Linked DNA regions of Diceros bicornis minor. The main gene of each other region encodes a partner of the protein of the gene in region 2 in a complex. Links are inferred from orthologs where the notes say so. Each region holds a gene or a part of one and is shown on either strand. Other genes may lie near its edges.

Region 1 (7,769 bases), on a different chromosome or scaffold from region 2:
CATCTATTTTCATATCAGAAAAACAGAATGACTGAAATATCCTTTGGAGTTGAACCCTGAATCTTGAAGGAAAAAAAAAATGAATATATACTCAGTACTATGAGTCATTTATAATAACTTTTCAAAGTCAAAATTAGTCTATTTTCCAAAGGTGAAAATGATTAGGAGTCATTGGATGATTAGCTCAGGTTAAAACAGCTGGTAATTAATAAATTGGGGGTTAGGACCCCAAATTCAGTGCCTCTCAAAAGTTGGTAACTGATGAAGATCGATAATTCTCCCATTCCCTCATCCTCATAAGGATTAAGCCTAGCCAAAGTAGAGAATGCAGAAAAGCAAAATAGAAAAAAGTCAAAATTGGCCAATTTGGCTACCTGGTTTAAGATTGGTTAACACATGGTTTTCAACTTATGTAAAGGTTTCAGTTATTCATGTGGATAATTCAGAGATAATATAGCTCTCAAGTTTAGAACATCAGAACCATCATCTACTCTTGATGCCTTAACAATGAGAAACAGTTTATGATGGAGAATTCAGTTTTGGTTGGCTGGGTGCCTAGCACCCCAGATCCCAATACGCCCCTGGCTCTTAGCATTATGATCCTAAGAGGGGCAAGCACCAGCGAACACAACTTCAGTAAGAAAGCACGTACCTCGCCGAAACCAATCATAACTGAACACAAAAAGCTAATAATCTGACACTATGGTAGAAACGGTACCAGTTGGGAATTGGAAGACTACCTTTCCTGACTCTTGTACATCAGTCACGCGGTCTTAAGTCATTTAACTCTGGGCTGCAGTCTCCCAGTCAGCCAAAAGAGGATACCAATTTTGCCTGCCTCACACAGTGCAGTAAATCTCAATGCTTTAAGTGCCATAAAAATGCTATACAAACAAAGGACTTTTCAAATAAAATACTAACATCAACATAAAAGATAATTTTAACGTGCATTTAGGAAAGATTAAATTCCACCCAACATTTTCAAGGAAGAATATTTATTTATGGCACGGAGTTCTAGTCCGATGCATCTTAATACACAATAGCATATACTGTTACTGAAAAGCTTTTCGCTGATAAGCTTAGTAATAGAAAATATTTAGAGGCAGAAAAAGTTGGAGATAATTTGCAAAATAAAAACAAGAATAAAATGAAATACTACCTAGGTCTTGTTTGGCTACAGGTCCTGCCAATAGAAAATTTTTAAGAGCAAGAAAAAAATTTTTTTCAAGAGCCAGATAATATACAGTTCCATGAAAATGATCAAAACAGCTAAGTAAAGAATATTTTCAAGGGGATTCTATACTACAAACATACAAGACTGTAAGGGACTTTGAAAGCTGTAATGTACTGTACAAATATAATTATCACAACTCTCATCTCTACATGACAGGGCTGCTACAGATTTTCTACATCATATATACCAAGTCATTTCTAACAAATAATACACAAAAATATTTTGAGCAAGCTTGACTCAAAATTTAATCAGGAAATCTAGGTATTATGAAGTTCTATAAATTAGTGCCTGGCACACACTTTTATTATTACTTTCGTCCGTTGGGACTTAGAAATTTGGGTAGTTTGCCTAAGTTCCACCAATGAGAAGTGAAAATACCGATCACTTAGCTATAGCTATCTGCTAAGACAATGTAAGACCTAAAAAAAAACGTCTAGAAATACACTCAGCCAAACCCTTAAAATTTAACCTCATCCTCCTTATCACAAGCCACCTCGTGGACTGCAATTTCTTTCCCCAATTTGCCTAAGCACATGCTACTGAATAACGAGTAAATAAATAAAATTTAGCCATCTTGAAAAGATTTTCACACATGGTTTTTTCTGACGGGGTTTTAAACGTCTACAATATATTTATCTATTACAGAAAACTTAATTGTCAAAGTTTAAAAATCATAAAACGGGTAGAACTTGTGGTGATAAGACCTGTGACTTCCATTTACCTTCCTCAGCAATGGAATTAGCTAAATTCTAAGAAATGAAAAACCGTCAGACGGACAACTCACGACCGTAACACGCTCATGAAAATACTTCTCTACCTCGGGCAAAAGAATCGTTTTTTTACTTTATAAGCACTGTTTTTTAAGATTTTAACATAGTCCTTTGGGATCAAATATCCAACTGACTTCATCAAAACAAGAACTTGGACTTTTCCACTGTGTGTTCCCTACTGACTCATGAAACATGGTTTTAAAAAAATCAACTAGTAACAGACTTACAGGGATGCAAGATGAGACTTTAAAATCTCACGAATATCTCGAAGTAATTGAAAAAGAAATTCTTTTTTTACGCAGAACGCATACAACCATTTAAAAATGGAAGTCTCCGGGAGAACGCAGCTGCAGTCATACCCAACTGCGCGACGTGAAATCTGGGCAACTAGCGCCGCTTCCCTTCCCTGGCTCAACTCGTCAGCACCGCCAGTCCCCGGATCCGGCCGCGGGGGTGGGAGGGGGCGACACCGACGCGGGGACAGGACGCCACCGAGGGGGCGGCCTCCCGGGCTCGCCGGCCCGCGGGAGCGCTCACCTCGCCCCCGGCGACGCAGAACGGAGGTAAGACGGGCTCGGGGCGGCGGAAGCGTCCCCGCAAGAGGGCAGGCGGCGCGGCTAACAGGGGGCCAGGGGGCCGGGGGCCCGGGAGCCCCGAGCCGCCCTCGGCGCTCTGTCCACCCCTTCCCGAGCCGGGGCGGCCGCACCTCAGCCCTTGGGACCCGGAGGTCCTCGCGGCCGCTCCACACCTACCTCTCCGGACGGAGGCCGCGCCGGCGCCCCTCAGTCACATAGGCCGAGGCCGCGCTGCCCCTGCCGCCCAGGCCGCCCGACCGCGCTCCGCCGGCCCCCGCGCGCCTCCTCCCGCCGCAGCCCCGACAATCCCCTTTATTTGCGGGTCTCGCTGCCACAAAATGGCGCTCAGGGAGGAAGCGAGGCCCCGCCGCCCCACCCCCTTCCCGCTCCTCCCGCCGCCACGCCCCGCCCCACCCGCCCGCCGTCCGCGTCTCCGCCCCGCCATGTTCGCTCCGGCCCACTCACCGACGAGTCGCCTCCCAGAAGCGGCCGCACTACCCGGCCACCGCAGGGCCCCGCCGCGGGGAGGAAGGCGAAAGGACCGCGCCCGGCCGGCGCCTCGAGGCGCCCAGGGAGGAGCTACGTCTTGGTGGCACGCCCCGCGGCCTCCGGGGCGCCGCAAGCTCGGCAGGGCGGGGAGGGAAGCGGGCCGCCGGGAAGGCTGGGCCGCGAGGTCGGAGGTCAGCTGCGGGGCATCACGGGAAGGGCGGCGGGGGTCGCGATTGGCGGCGCGGAGGGGAAGCGCTCGCCGGGCCACCTGCGGCTGCGGCGCGGCCTCTGGCGGAGGAATCTGGGCGAAGGTGGCGTGTGATTGGCCTCTGCGGTGCAGCGTCCGTCTGTGATGCCTCCGCGCGCCGGTGGGCCAGGTGCAACCCCGGGAGCGGGGCCGTGGGCGGGGACTGGGTCGGTTTAGGCTTCGGTCAGCTTCCCTGTTTAAATTTTCATCTCTTAGAAACCAATGCTCCCTCTTCCGTCGTGAAGTGCAGCCTCCTGGCCGCTTGGTTCGTCCCTGCCTTGACATCTCGAGGCGAAACCGAGGAGCTATTGTCTGGCAGATGGAGGTTGTGCTAGGGGCACCTTGCTAACTCGGAAGCGAGGCGAAGGCGAACCCTGGGAGGTTTTAATGAACCCATTAAAATAAGTTTTGTAATTTGAATATACTGCCCTACACAAGACTTTGTGTCATCCAGACCATTGCATAAGAACGATGGAGTTACCTGGTAAACGTATAACAGCCTCTTTGCACTTGCTACACGGGTCAGGTAATTCTTTTGATTGGCCTGCCTTTATCCGGCTTTACCCAAACTGTTTATCCCCAAAGGAGGTGTCCCGGAATGAGATGATTTATGAGGATAAGATTAAAGTATGCTCCAGATGGTCAGAGGGATCATGGTGTATTCCCAGGAAATCAGATCAGTATGAAGAAAATATTTGCAGCTTACATCACAGGAACTCGTAAAAACTGAAAAGAAAAAGACCCAAATCCGAAGAGAAAAATGGGCAAGGACATGAAGAGACAATTCACAGAAAAGAATAGCAGTGGTCCTTAAAGGTAAAAGGCTGTTCATCCTCCTTACTATGGAAATGCCCATTGAAATTACAAGGCTCCAGAGAGACGGTGTTCATAAGTTTCCTGGTGGGAATCGGAAAATGATTCAAGCCCTATGGGATACTAACATTATATGTGCATTTACTCTTGTATCTTGCAATTCCTTTTCTAACCCCAGCCTTATGTTGAAAATACACCTCCAGAAATAGAAACAACACTTAGGCAAGGTTATTTGTCGCAGTGTTACTTGTCATAACAAAAGTTTGGAAATAACTCAAACGTCCATTAATAGGGAACTGGTTGGACATGATGCATCCTTACAATGGAATATAATGCAGCCATGAAGAAAGAATGAGGACAATATTTATGTGTTGCTTTGGAATGAGTTGTAGGTTATATGGGAAATTGGAAGGATATCCTAGAAACAATAAGAATGTGACCTATAGAGGGTGATGGGGAGGGGTGGAGGGGAAAGAAATGATAGCAAGACTTCTTGTAGCAGGAAAAACCCGGGACCCTGTCACTGCAGCCGACTCAGTGAACACAATGACCAGGGATCGAGGAAAAGAAAAATGGTTTAATTTTGCTGGCAAAATGAGGCTGCCATGGCTCATGCGCCAAAACCCACAGTCCTCCTGAGGCATTAGGAGTTGGGGTTTTTAAAGGAAAGTCTGTGGGAAAGAATGTACTCTTGTGACTGTGATTATTTTCTGGGGGGGAGTATAGTGGGGATCCCAGACCTTCTGGCACTGGGCCAACTGTTATCCCTATCTACAGTAGGAGGTTTAGGGCTCCGTTGATCAGTCTTCCCACTCCACCTCTAATTGGGCCCTGGGGAGAGGAAGGCAACTGCTGCCAACTAACGATTACAAAGTTTACAAGTTTTAGATAGGAGAGGGGGAGCTGTGGCTTTGTAGTTCAGGGTCCTCCCATCAGCCTGCGTGCGTTTGGCGGAGATGAGGGAAGCTGCAGGTGTCCTCTGTCTCCGTGATGAATGGTGGATTCAGCGCCAGGAACAAGGGAGTTGCGGAGCTTCAGCTTCTTGGTAACTTTTGGATGTCAGTTTCCCTACAGCAAACCTCAAGAACTGGTCATTAGCCAGAACTTCAGTGTGAAGCCACCTGGGCTTTTAACAATTTAAGCAGGGAAAGAGAATGAGTGCTTTTTGGTTTTTAACCCCATATATCCTGGGTTCAACTTGGGTAACTGATATCAGGGCCGGCATCATTCTCTGACTTTGAACTTTTAAAGTTTTACATAAAGTAAATAATAAAGGAAACAAAGTAAGCCCCAAGTTGAAAGCAAATTAAAACAAATGAACTTTAAGCAAGTTGGTAACATAACTATGTTGTTACACAGAAAAAAGAGTTCTTCCACCAGGGCTTTTGAACAGAGTACTTTGAGAGAGTATCTGTGATGGGATATATTCTAAGGATAAAAAAGAAATGCAAAGGAATCTTTAGCTTCACTCAGTGGTTTATAAGTAATGGTAATATTGGTGCTGTAGTTTTGAAACTATATTGTAGGATAACACAAGTATTTTAATGTTATAATGTACAAGACTTTCAGTGTAAGAGAAAATGAGATGCAAATATAAGATGAAGGAAGTGCAGAAAGAACCTGTGATACATTTAAATTGGAAATATCAATTTGAGCACAAGATTTTTATAATAAATTACCTAGTTCTGTGCACTGAAAGGAAGCACTAGGGTAACAAATTGTCCCAGTTTGCCAGGAACTGAGGGGATTTCCCGGGATGCTGGACTTGCCCTATTAAAACCGAAAGTGTCTCAGGCAAAGCAGCATGTTTAAATCACGGTACAGTAACACTGAGCAAACTTGCCACCCAGATCAGGGTTTCCAAGTTCCATTTCCTCCTAGATAGATCCAGCGCTGATTCCAGTTCTGCGACAGGGAAATGACAAGATGAGTCTGATATTTTTGTTGTGCCTGAATGCAAAGGAAGGCTTTGACTAATGAAAATATGTCAATAGGACTTAAAAGACCAATGTAACCTATAGTGATAGAAATCAAAACTGTGCTGGCTAGGAGGGGAAAGGAGCAGGAATCGACTGGAAAGGAACATGGGGGAACTTTTTCGGGTGATGAAAATATTCTACATCATGATTAGGGTGGTGGTTACCCCGGTATATACATTTGTCAAAATTCATCAAACTATACCACTAAAGTGGATGCATGTAATGTAAATTATACCTCATATAAATTATTATTATATATTATACCTCAATGTGGGAAAAAAAGAAGACCAACCAGATGAGAAAAGCAAAGGCTATTTATTCAGAGCTTGCTATAGCAAGGGAGTCAGCCACCATCACTTGTGTTGGGCAGAGACTCACAGGCAGGCAGAGGAGTGGGAAAGCTTCATAGTGGAAAAGGAATGGTGTGCCTGATGGAGGCTGTGGGTACCGAGAAGCTGGAGGCAGCTAACTAGAAGTGGGGCATCTGTGTGATTGGTTAGGTGTGTATTTGGTTTTCTCTGGTTGGTTCTAAGTTGGAAGAGGGGACAAACATTAGGGAAGCTGTCACTTTTTAATCAAGTCCTGGCCATTTTCAGCTGATTGTTACAGAAGGTATTGTTTAGTTTCCTGGATTGTTACTTGCGATAGTCTGACTTCCTCCAGGTTTGACTTATAGCAGGCTAACTTCCTGGGCTGGTTATTATAGATGAGGGGGCTGGTTTCCTGGGCAGGTTGCTGCAGGTTGTGGGTCAAAATTCTATTTTTATATGTGGTCTGGCCATGTCCATTTGTATATTCGAAAGTAAATAGTCTTCAAAAGTAAATTTGAAAAAGACACAGGAGCCAGCTTGAGGGATCTCCTATAGGCCAAATTTAGGGCCATTTCAGCATCAAAAAGAAAATGACTACAATTGATTGTAAATACCAAATAGATAAAAATCTATGACTCTAGGGGCTGGCCTGGTGGTATAGTGGTTAAGGTCACGAACTCCACTTCGGTGGTCCAGCGTTCACTGGTTCGGATCCCAGGTGTGGACCTGCACACCGCTTATCAAGCCATGCTGTGACAGGCATCCCACATATAAAGTGGAGGAAGATGGGCATGGATGTTAGCCCAGGGCCAATTTCTCTTAGCAAAAAGAGGAAGATTGGCAACAGATGTTAGCTCAGGGCTAATCTTCCTCATTAAAAAAAAAAAATCTATGACTATAGTTATACTTGATGAGTGAGAAAGGGGGGCAGGGGACTATTTTTCCATCATTGGAAATGACTATTACAAAACTTCTTACTCTGAAAATTAGTTATTAAAGGGAAAAAATAGTATTTGCCCTGCCTTTTTAAAAAAAGAATTGTGGTTCACTCCCAGGTGATGAGGAAAAACTGTTCTTTACAATAGGGTGCTAGCAAATGAATGTAGAATAAATGATATAGTTAGAAAATAACTATTATGCAAATCCTAAAGAAGTAATTCATTCAGGCAAAGATTAGGAAGGGACTTAAAAACCTTTAGATGACAGATTGCTGGGAAATGGGGTTATTCAAGTGGCACCAAAACACCACCTCCCGGGTTATTGATCTGACCTTACAGAGAACACTCTTGTATAGTGGAGCCATCTAGTGGTCACCACCTGAACCAAACGGTCAAATTTAGAATCTGTGATT
Region 2 (8,372 bases):
TGTTTTTAACCTCTGGCATTCTGTGCTTATTTAAAATAAGAAAAGTTCTAACCATTTCTTTTATGTATTTATGTTTTAAAAAAATGATTTAAAAATGATCTTACCTGTACCAGAAAACAAAGTTAAAAAAAATTTGTACTAGTGTCCCAAGAGGTATTTTACTGTATATATTGTGCTAGCATGTTCTAAATCCAAGTAATGTGAATTTTAGATGTAAATATCTGCCATTTGATTTTTCCCCCTTTCCCCACTCCCTTGACTGCTGTGATGTGAATTAAAGATGAATACCTGACACTGACCCACTGAATTCACTGAATGGGAGCAGCACAAGTGCCCCTCTCCATCCCTGGTCGCTGGGCTCCAAGTCCTTTTAGCCCCATACAAATGTTTCTGCACTGACCACAGCCAATCTTTCCCACGTCCTGCCTTCAAGGACAGGAAGGCAAGCCTTGCACTTGAAAGGAGAGCAGCCAGAGGAAACGTCCTCCGATGCTTGTTCGCTGACCCAGAGGACTCTACTTCAGGAGGTGCTCTCAGCAGCCAACCCCCCCCCCCCCCCGCTCCCGCCACTGGGAAGCAGGAAGGGGCGGGCCAACCACCTGGGCCAGGCTTCCGGAAGTCGTGAGGAAATGCAGAACTCTTCCAAGAGTGGGGGACAAACCTCCTAAGCCCTCTTATTGCGAGGCGGGATGGTTCTGATCCCAAAGCTACGGCACCTAGCCCCGGCGCTTTCCTGGGTCTAAGACGGCAGCCCGAGGTGAGCCCTTCCGGTGGGAGGTCCTCCAGCCCAGAGCCTGCAAGTTGCCTCCGGTCAGCCGGGGGTCAAGCGAGCGGGCCCCTGAGCTGATAGGGAACTCCGGGCTTGGGCAGCAGGCCTCGCAGACGCTTCTCCCCCCGCCCACGAGATCGTTTAAAAAAAGAAAAAGGAGAGAAACCTCTTCCGAGCCTTGCCTGCGGTCGGCCGCCCTCCCTGCCTGCCCTTGGGTCGCGGGTGAGCCCAGAACCCCTGACTTTCGCGAGTCGGGGCCCTGGGCGGGAAAGTCCGCGGGGTTCTTCGCGCATGTGTGGGGCCCACAACAGCGGATGCGCGAGACAATTCAGCAGGCGCGGCCGGCGTCCGAATCCGACTCCATCCCGCATCGCCCGACTTCGTCCAAAGCCGCTGCCCCAACCCAACATGGCGGCTTTTACCGCTTCCGCCGCCTCCGCGGCCGCTTCCTGAGGACGGCCCTGATTCAATCAGCGGCCGACAACTGTCTAGGGCCGGGGGCGGTGACGCCGCCAGCCAATGGGGAAGGGCAGCGTGGAGCTGCCCGTCTGGGCTCCAAGGCGCGTGGACCAATGGGAGTGAGGCGTGTGGGAGGGTGCCCGGGGTCGCCCGCCAATGAGGAGCTACGGCGCGCGGCCGGGACCCGGAGGCTGCGCAGCGCGGCGGGCGAGGTTCACTCGGGCGGCGGCGGCGGCGGCGGCGAAGCTGGAGGATGTGGGCCGCAAGGGGGCTAGCGGTGGCGCTGGCCCTGAGCGTGCTGCCGGGCAGTTGGGCGCTGCGGCCGGGCGACTGCGAAGGTGCGGCGGGACCGGGGTCCGAGCTCTGTGGCCGGCATGGCGGCGGCGCTGAGCCCAACCAATCCACGGAGCGGCCGAGAGGCCGGGTCTGGAACGGGCGTGGGTGGCGGCGGCCGGCCCCAGCGGGGTCTGCCTGAGGAGGGCCAGACGCCGGGCCTAGAAAACATTTCGTGAGTCTAGAAAACATTGGTCCGACGCGAAAAAGTTGGGACTAGATCATGCTGAAAACTTGGCCTGAAATTGAGATAACGCCGGAGTTTTTGTCCCTTCCCGTCACTAGACAGAGACTTTCGGGAGCGGCCCTGGTCCGGATCGGCAGTCCTGAGGGCCGGCCGTGGGTACCTGGTGGGGTTGCGAGGCTGCACCTCGGGGTTCGGTGTTGTGTTTGGAAATGAGCAGCATTTGGATCGTTTTACTCTTAGGCCTCCAGTTGGTCTATTTATGAGGTCACAGTGAGTCCATCTCAAGGACACGTGTTCAGTCTCGCTTTAAACTTTATGGAAGAAGCAGGGGAGAGTTTGTGGGTCATGGGGTGATGCTCGTTCCCCGCATGCCCTGGGTGTACCAAGGGACCCCAGCAACCTGGAGCTGGGTTCTGCCCACCTGTGGGCACCTGAGAAAAATCGATGATGGAAACACTCGCCTGTCTCTGTCTTTCCTATTAAATTTGCTGACGGGTTTCCCTCCTGGTGGATTGGGGTGCAACTTGGTGATTGCTGAGCATCTCACTTCCCTCTCTTTTCCAGTGTGTATTTCTTATCTGGGAAGGTTTTACCAGGACCTCAAAAACAGAGATGTCACATTCTCACCAGCTTCTATTGAAAAAGAACTAGTAAAGTTCTGCCGTGAAGCAAGGGGCAAAGAGAATCGGTTGGTGAGTAGCTGGTGACCCTCCCCAGCTGGCCTTTCCTCTGCGTCAAAAGCACTGCCCACTTGTCTATTTAGGGGGCCAGCTATCTGTCAGTGAACTAATGCGGGAGTAAACTGCTTTCATATATTCTGCAGTTGTGATGTTTTTCATCCTGTTAATATTGATTAAGCACCTACTGTGTGCTCGGCACTGGGGATATCGGGAGAGAAATGACAGTCAGGCAGACAAATGATGCAGTGGGATGGGTGTCATGAAAAAAAAAAACAGACCAGGATAGTATGGTAGAGAGGGCAGGTGCTGATTTAGACAGAGTAGTCAAGAATCTATCTGAGGAAGGATCATCATTGTGGTGGGGCAAGAGCATCCCAGGAAGAGAGAACAGCCAGTGTGAGTACCCAGAGGCCAGAAGAAGATAAAATGTGCACAGGGTAGTCCAGGGCTGAACTGAGGACAAGAACTCTAATGAAACGATGGCTTTTGTAGCTTTAATTTCCCGGCAGTCTTAGTTTGTCTGTCTCTGTTTAAATGTTTGAACCCTGATGGCTCTCAAACTTATATGGTGGTTGTCAGCTCTGGGACCAAGCATGTATTAAGAGCCGGGGGTTTACACTGATAGAATCTGACTGCCAGTACAGGCAGGGCATGGGGAATTGAGGCCCTGGCAGAGAAGGAAGATGTTTTGAGATGTCAATGTGTTTTGGAGGAGATGGCTCTCGAGTGGCACCTCCTGAAAGGCATTGTCTTTTCTTGCTGCAGTGCTACTACATTGGGGCCACAGATGATGCAGCCACCAAGATCATCAATGAGGTGTCAAAGCCCCTGGCCCACCACATCCCTGTGGAGAAGATCTGTGAGAAGCTCAAGAAGAAGGACAGCCAGATCTGTGAGCTAAAGTATGGTGAGTGTGGCCAGGCCTTATTTAACACACTGTGCCCTCTCTGTGCTGAGGCATTATGGAGTTTACTTTATAGCTGGGAGAGGCGGGGGATAAACTAGAGCCGTCGTGAGTGAGTTATGTAGCATAGTAGATGGTGCTAAAAGAGGAGGTGGGGGCGCGGGGGGGATCTTGCATCATGGTGGGTAGAGGTCAGACTGGGCCTCAGACTTTGAAGGAGGTGGGAGATTAGCCAAGGGGACAGCTAATGGAAGAGCATTCCAGGCAGAGGAAATAGCGCACAGGCAGCCAGTGGCATGACAGATGGGTGGGCAAGTCACAGAGGGCCTTGCAGGTTGGTGAAGATTGGGCTTTTAGTCTGAGTGAAGTTGGGAACATTAGTTTTTGAGCAGAGAAGGGATGTTTTCTGACTCGGGTTTAACACACTTGTCCTGGCTGCAAGCTCTGAAGGCCCAGCAATCTTGATTATTTTGAAAAGAAATGCTGTATCCAAACAGGCAAGCCCAAGAGTTTTGGGCACTGCAGCATCTCTCTGGCTGAATAGGTCTCTGGTAGAAAAAACAGTGTCCAGGTCTTTAGAAGGAGTCAGGGCCAGAAATAGTTGTCCTCTTTTGCAAAATTTAAACAGCACCAACATATTTTATTGTGACCTAAGTGTCCAAGGGCCTGTGTTCCCCTACTTGTATCAAGGATGCCTGGTTTTCTGAGAGTGATCCTTGGACAGGTGCAGTTGACTCAAGGTCTCTCTGTGATCACAAATGGTCATGAGAGTAAGCTCCTGGCTCAGGGGCCTGACCAGGGCCTGTGTTGGGAAGTTGGGGCTAGGGATCTGTCTGCTCTGTCACCCTGGAGTTTTCATGCTACAGTGACTTGGCCTGTACCGTGACTATGTAAGAGGCACTTGGGAGAGTGGGAGCCACATTTCTCCTGTAAGGTTCTTTGTGGCCTTCATCCCTGTCCCTGGCGACACTGCATATCTGTGGTGGACACTGCCAGCATGAGACCAACCTTCCTGGTGAAGAGGCCCGAGCCTGTTCCCCATCTTGGGGGCAGTGGACACTAGCACACCTGGGTGTGTCTGGATATGTCTCTCCCCTCACGACCACTAGGGTTGCTTGTTTTAAGGGGTGATTTGGCTGTGCAGGGGCGATCCATCTTGGGACTATTGGGGGTCCGTGGGTGCTCCCACCCAGCTACTTACTCTCCCTTCTCTCGCCTCCAGACAAGCAGATCGACCTGAGCACAGTGGACCTGAAGAAGCTCCGAGTTAAAGAGCTAAAGAAGATCCTGGACGACTGGGGGGAGACGTGCAAAGGCTGTGCAGAGAAGTCTGACTACATCCGGAAGATTAATGAACTGATGCCTAAATATGCCCCCAAGGCAGCCAGTTCACGGACTGATTTGTAGTCTGGCCGATCCCTGCTGCACCTGAGGGAAAAAAACAGTTCATCTGTGTCTTCCCCAAACAGCATTTTTGTAATTTATTTTTTAGGCGGCTCCTGACAATGTCAGTTGTGAAGCCTGGAGCTTTCCTGATGATGCTGGCTCTACAGTGCCCCCATGGCGGGATTCACTTCGTTCTGTTGCTGGTTTACTCTAGGACTTCAAAGTGTGTCTGGGATTTTTTTATTAAAGGAAGAAAATTTGTAGCTGTCCTTGGAGAATTAAAGTGAATACTGAAATAGGGTTTTACCCCTAATGAAGATCCCACCAGTTTATGCTTTCCGGTTTACAAAGAGTTTTCAGGTATATTCACATTTGTCCCTCAACCACAGGGCTGGACCAGGGGCTGAGGCATGTGGTGTTGTGCAGGACTAGAGGGGAGCCCTGGAGAAGGCTGGGCTTGATACCCGACCCTGCAGTGACTTACCGGCAGGAGGGGCTGGAGGCTGCACAGCTGCTTGCTAGGCATAGGGGATTGAGTCTGATGTACAAGGGAGGGGCTTACCTCAGGGCTCGGTACCCACAGGACTGAGGGTGTGTTTAGTGTGGTTTTCTGGGATGATGACTTCAATAACTGTATATTGAGTGCTGTCATATTTCTAAAGATGCTCTTGGCCTGTCTACCTCCACCAGACACTGTCCAGATCTGGCCATCTACTCACTCATCTGAGTTTGTGGTCTAGTGTCAGTCCCAAGCTTCTAATGCCTAATTGGGGTTTTTGTAAGACTGGCAGGAGTCGGTTTGTACAAAGAGCCAGTGAGAGGCTGCCTTTTGCCTTTTTTACCCAAGATAAGTCTAACAGTTGAGGTCCTGATGGCTTGTCCCCAGAGTCTGATTTTTTAGTTGCTCTCTGTGGGGTTGGTGCTTGGGAAACCCAGTTGTCACCATGAGCTGTGGCTTGATGGAGATACCTCTGTTCCTTGGGCCTGCAGACACTGAAAGGAAGGAGTAAGAAGCTGTGCTTTCCAAGGAATTGGTCTGACCTCCGATCACAGCATTTGTGCAGTTCCTAAATTCAGTTTGACCATAGAAGGGGCCTCAGCTGCTGTGGAGTCCACTAATGCTTGGCAGTGGCAGTCCCACGTTTTGCACCTCTGCAGCACTGTTTCTGAGGAAAGCGAGAAAGTTGAGCCACTTCTCTGGCCAAGACGATCTGAAAAGCACAGTGTCTGTCCTAAGCCCCTGAAAGGTGCTGGGAAAATCCATGGCTGGAGCCAGAAGTCTTAGGAGATGGAGCTGTCTCAGCTTACCACCCTAATCTGTGATCCGGTGGCCTCCGTGCCCTCCAGGCCGCATTGAACAGAGGAACAGGGAAAACAGCCCAACTACTAAGCTCTAGGGCTGACCCCCAAGGTTATCTGAAGAGGTTAACTCCCTTTCTGGAAGCAGATTTCAGGAGGTCGTGCAGTGTTATAGGTGTTCCTTCCAAGACCTCTCCCCTCGCACCTGCCTGAGTTGCTCCAGGAGCTGCTTTATGGTTGTGGGAGGAACTGTGGTGCACTCTTCCCCACCCCATGGTTTCTGTGGCTGATGCTGGGTCAAGTTCTCCGATGCCTCTAGCAACTCTCCCTGAAGAATGAAAGCTTCCTCAAGGGGCTTGGGCCCCTGGACAGGATTCCCCCTCACCTCGAGAGAAGAGGTCCTGCCCCTGGAGGTGGATAGGAGGGCACTGGGCAGCGAAAGGTAAGTGTGTCAAGCTGTGGTAGCTACTGGGTTTGGCCATCTGTTCGCCCCTGGCTCCATGGCCCTGCCGTTACGGCCCGCCGTCTACTCGGATGCCCACAGCATAGTGGCTCAGTGGCGCCAAGGAGCTTATTCCCATCCGTAAACTGCAGATTGGTTCTCGGGTCTCTCTTCCTGGGCCCAGACAGGTATCGTCTTCTGCATGCATAGTCATGGTCATGGCCTTTCGGGGGACCGATGCAGGTGAACCTGAACGCAGAGAATGCCCGGACGGGGCCTAGGGAGCAGGGTTCTTCTGTCCTCGGGGTTGTCAACTCCGGACTCCAGTCAAGAGATGCTGTGGCGGGGAGATGGGAGCCACCCAAGCCTAGTCCTAGTCCTAGTCCTTTTACACCACATAAGAGGCCGCTGGGTCAAGACCCAGCACCTGGGCGCCCAAGGAGGTTGCCTGCCACTCCTGCTCCAATCAGCACGGGCCCCAGCCAGGAGCGGCTGGCCTAGGTCCTGCCTCGCCTGCTAGGGTCGTGGGCAGTGCGAGCCAGCCCGGATCTCGCGTGGAATCCCATCTCTCCTCGTAGCCGCGGCCGCGCGGTGGCGACAAAGCTCACTGCCCGGCTGCGCTTGCCCGGCTGCGCTTGCCCGCCTGCCATGGAGTCACGTGGCGTGGGGCGGCGCAGCCCGATGACGTACGCTCAGCGTAGCTCTCGCCCCGCCCGCCTCGAGGTCACGTGGCGCGGCCGGCGCAGCTTGATAGCGCGACGCCCAGCCCCTGGGCGCCGCTGCTGCCCCGCCCCGCCGTCACCGCCGCACCGAGTCCTTTTGTCCAAGATGGCGGCGCCGGGGGCGCCGCTTCTTCGGCCGCCGCTGCCGCCGTTCTGAGGGGCCTGCGGGCCGCCCGCCCGCCCGCCGCGCCGGCGCCATGAAGAGGCAGAGCGAGCGAGACTCGAGCCCGAGCGGGCGCGGCTCGTCATCTTCGGCCAAGCGGCCGCGGGAGCGCGAACGGGAGGCGGAGGCGGGCGGGCGGCGGGCAGCGCACAAGGCCTCGGGCGGCGCCAAGCACCCCGTACCGACGCGGGGTCGCGACAAACCCCGCGGTAGCGGGGGCGGCGGGGGTGGGCATCGCGACGGCCGCGGGGCCGGGGACGCGAATCACCGTGCGAGCAGCGGCCGCTCCTCGGGCTCAGGCGCCGGCGGCGGGGGACGCGGGGGCAAGGCCTCGGGGGACCCGGGCGCCTCAGGCGCTTCGCCCCGCGCATCCCCATTGCCGCCACCTCCGCCGCCTCCCGGAGCCGAGCCCGCGGGTCCCGGCTCGTCGGCGGCCGCGCCCGAGTACAAGACGCTGCTCATCAGCAGCCTGAGCCCCGCGTTGCCCGCCGAGCACCTCGAGGACCGGCTCTTCCACCAGTTCAAGCGCTTCGGCGAGATCAGCCTGCGCCTGTCGCACACGCCTGAGCTGGGCCGCGTGGCCTACGTGAACTTCCGGCACCCGCAGGACGCGCGCGAGGCCCGCCAGCACGCCCTGGCCCGCCAGCTGCTGCTCTACGACCGCCCGCTCAAAGTGGAGCCCGTGTACCTGCGCGGCGGCGGCGGCGGCGGTGGCGGCGCCGGTGGCGGGAGCAGCCGGCGAAGCAGCAGCAGCAGCGCCGCCGCCTCCACGCCGCCCCCCGGGCCGCCCGCGCCCGCCGACCCGTTGGGCTACCTGCCGCTGCACGGCGGCTACCAGTACAAGCAGCGCTCGCTATCCCCTGTAGCTGCTCCGCCACTGCGGGAGCCCCGCGCCCGCCACGCCGCTGCAGCCTTTGCCCTGGATGCCGCCGCTGCCGCCGCCGTAGGACTGTCCCGTGAGCGGGCCCTGGACTATTACGGGCTGTACGACGACCGCGGGCGTCCCTACGGCTACCCAGCCGTGTGCG

Evidence for each region.
Region 1: RBM15B (region 2) and WTAP share a complex: the UniProt entries of both Homo sapiens proteins name them as parts of the WMM complex. The link is inferred for Diceros bicornis minor from reciprocal best matches to the Homo sapiens genes RBM15B and WTAP.

What each region holds. Positions count from the first base shown.
Region 1 is NC_080778.1:10,090,057-10,097,825, forward strand, and holds the start of WTAP (pre-mRNA-splicing regulator WTAP), read right to left. Parts: upstream 3,189-7,769; 5' UTR 3,045-3,188; intron 2,869-3,044; exon of another isoform or gene 2,757-2,868; intron 1-2,756. UniProt on the Homo sapiens protein: Associated component of the WMM complex, a complex that mediates N6-methyladenosine (m6A) methylation of RNAs, a modification that plays a role in the efficiency of mRNA splicing and RNA processing.
Region 2 is NC_080741.1:52,147,301-52,155,672, forward strand, and holds the start of RBM15B (putative RNA-binding protein 15B), read left to right. Parts: upstream 1-5,052; 5' UTR 5,053-7,378; coding exon 7,379-8,372. Other genes in the region: MANF (mesencephalic astrocyte-derived neurotrophic factor), read left to right, coding at 1,482-1,566, 2,313-2,440, 3,194-3,335, 4,555-4,739. UniProt on the Homo sapiens protein: RNA-binding protein that acts as a key regulator of N6-methyladenosine (m6A) methylation of RNAs, thereby regulating different processes, such as alternative splicing of mRNAs and X chromosome inactivation mediated by Xist RNA.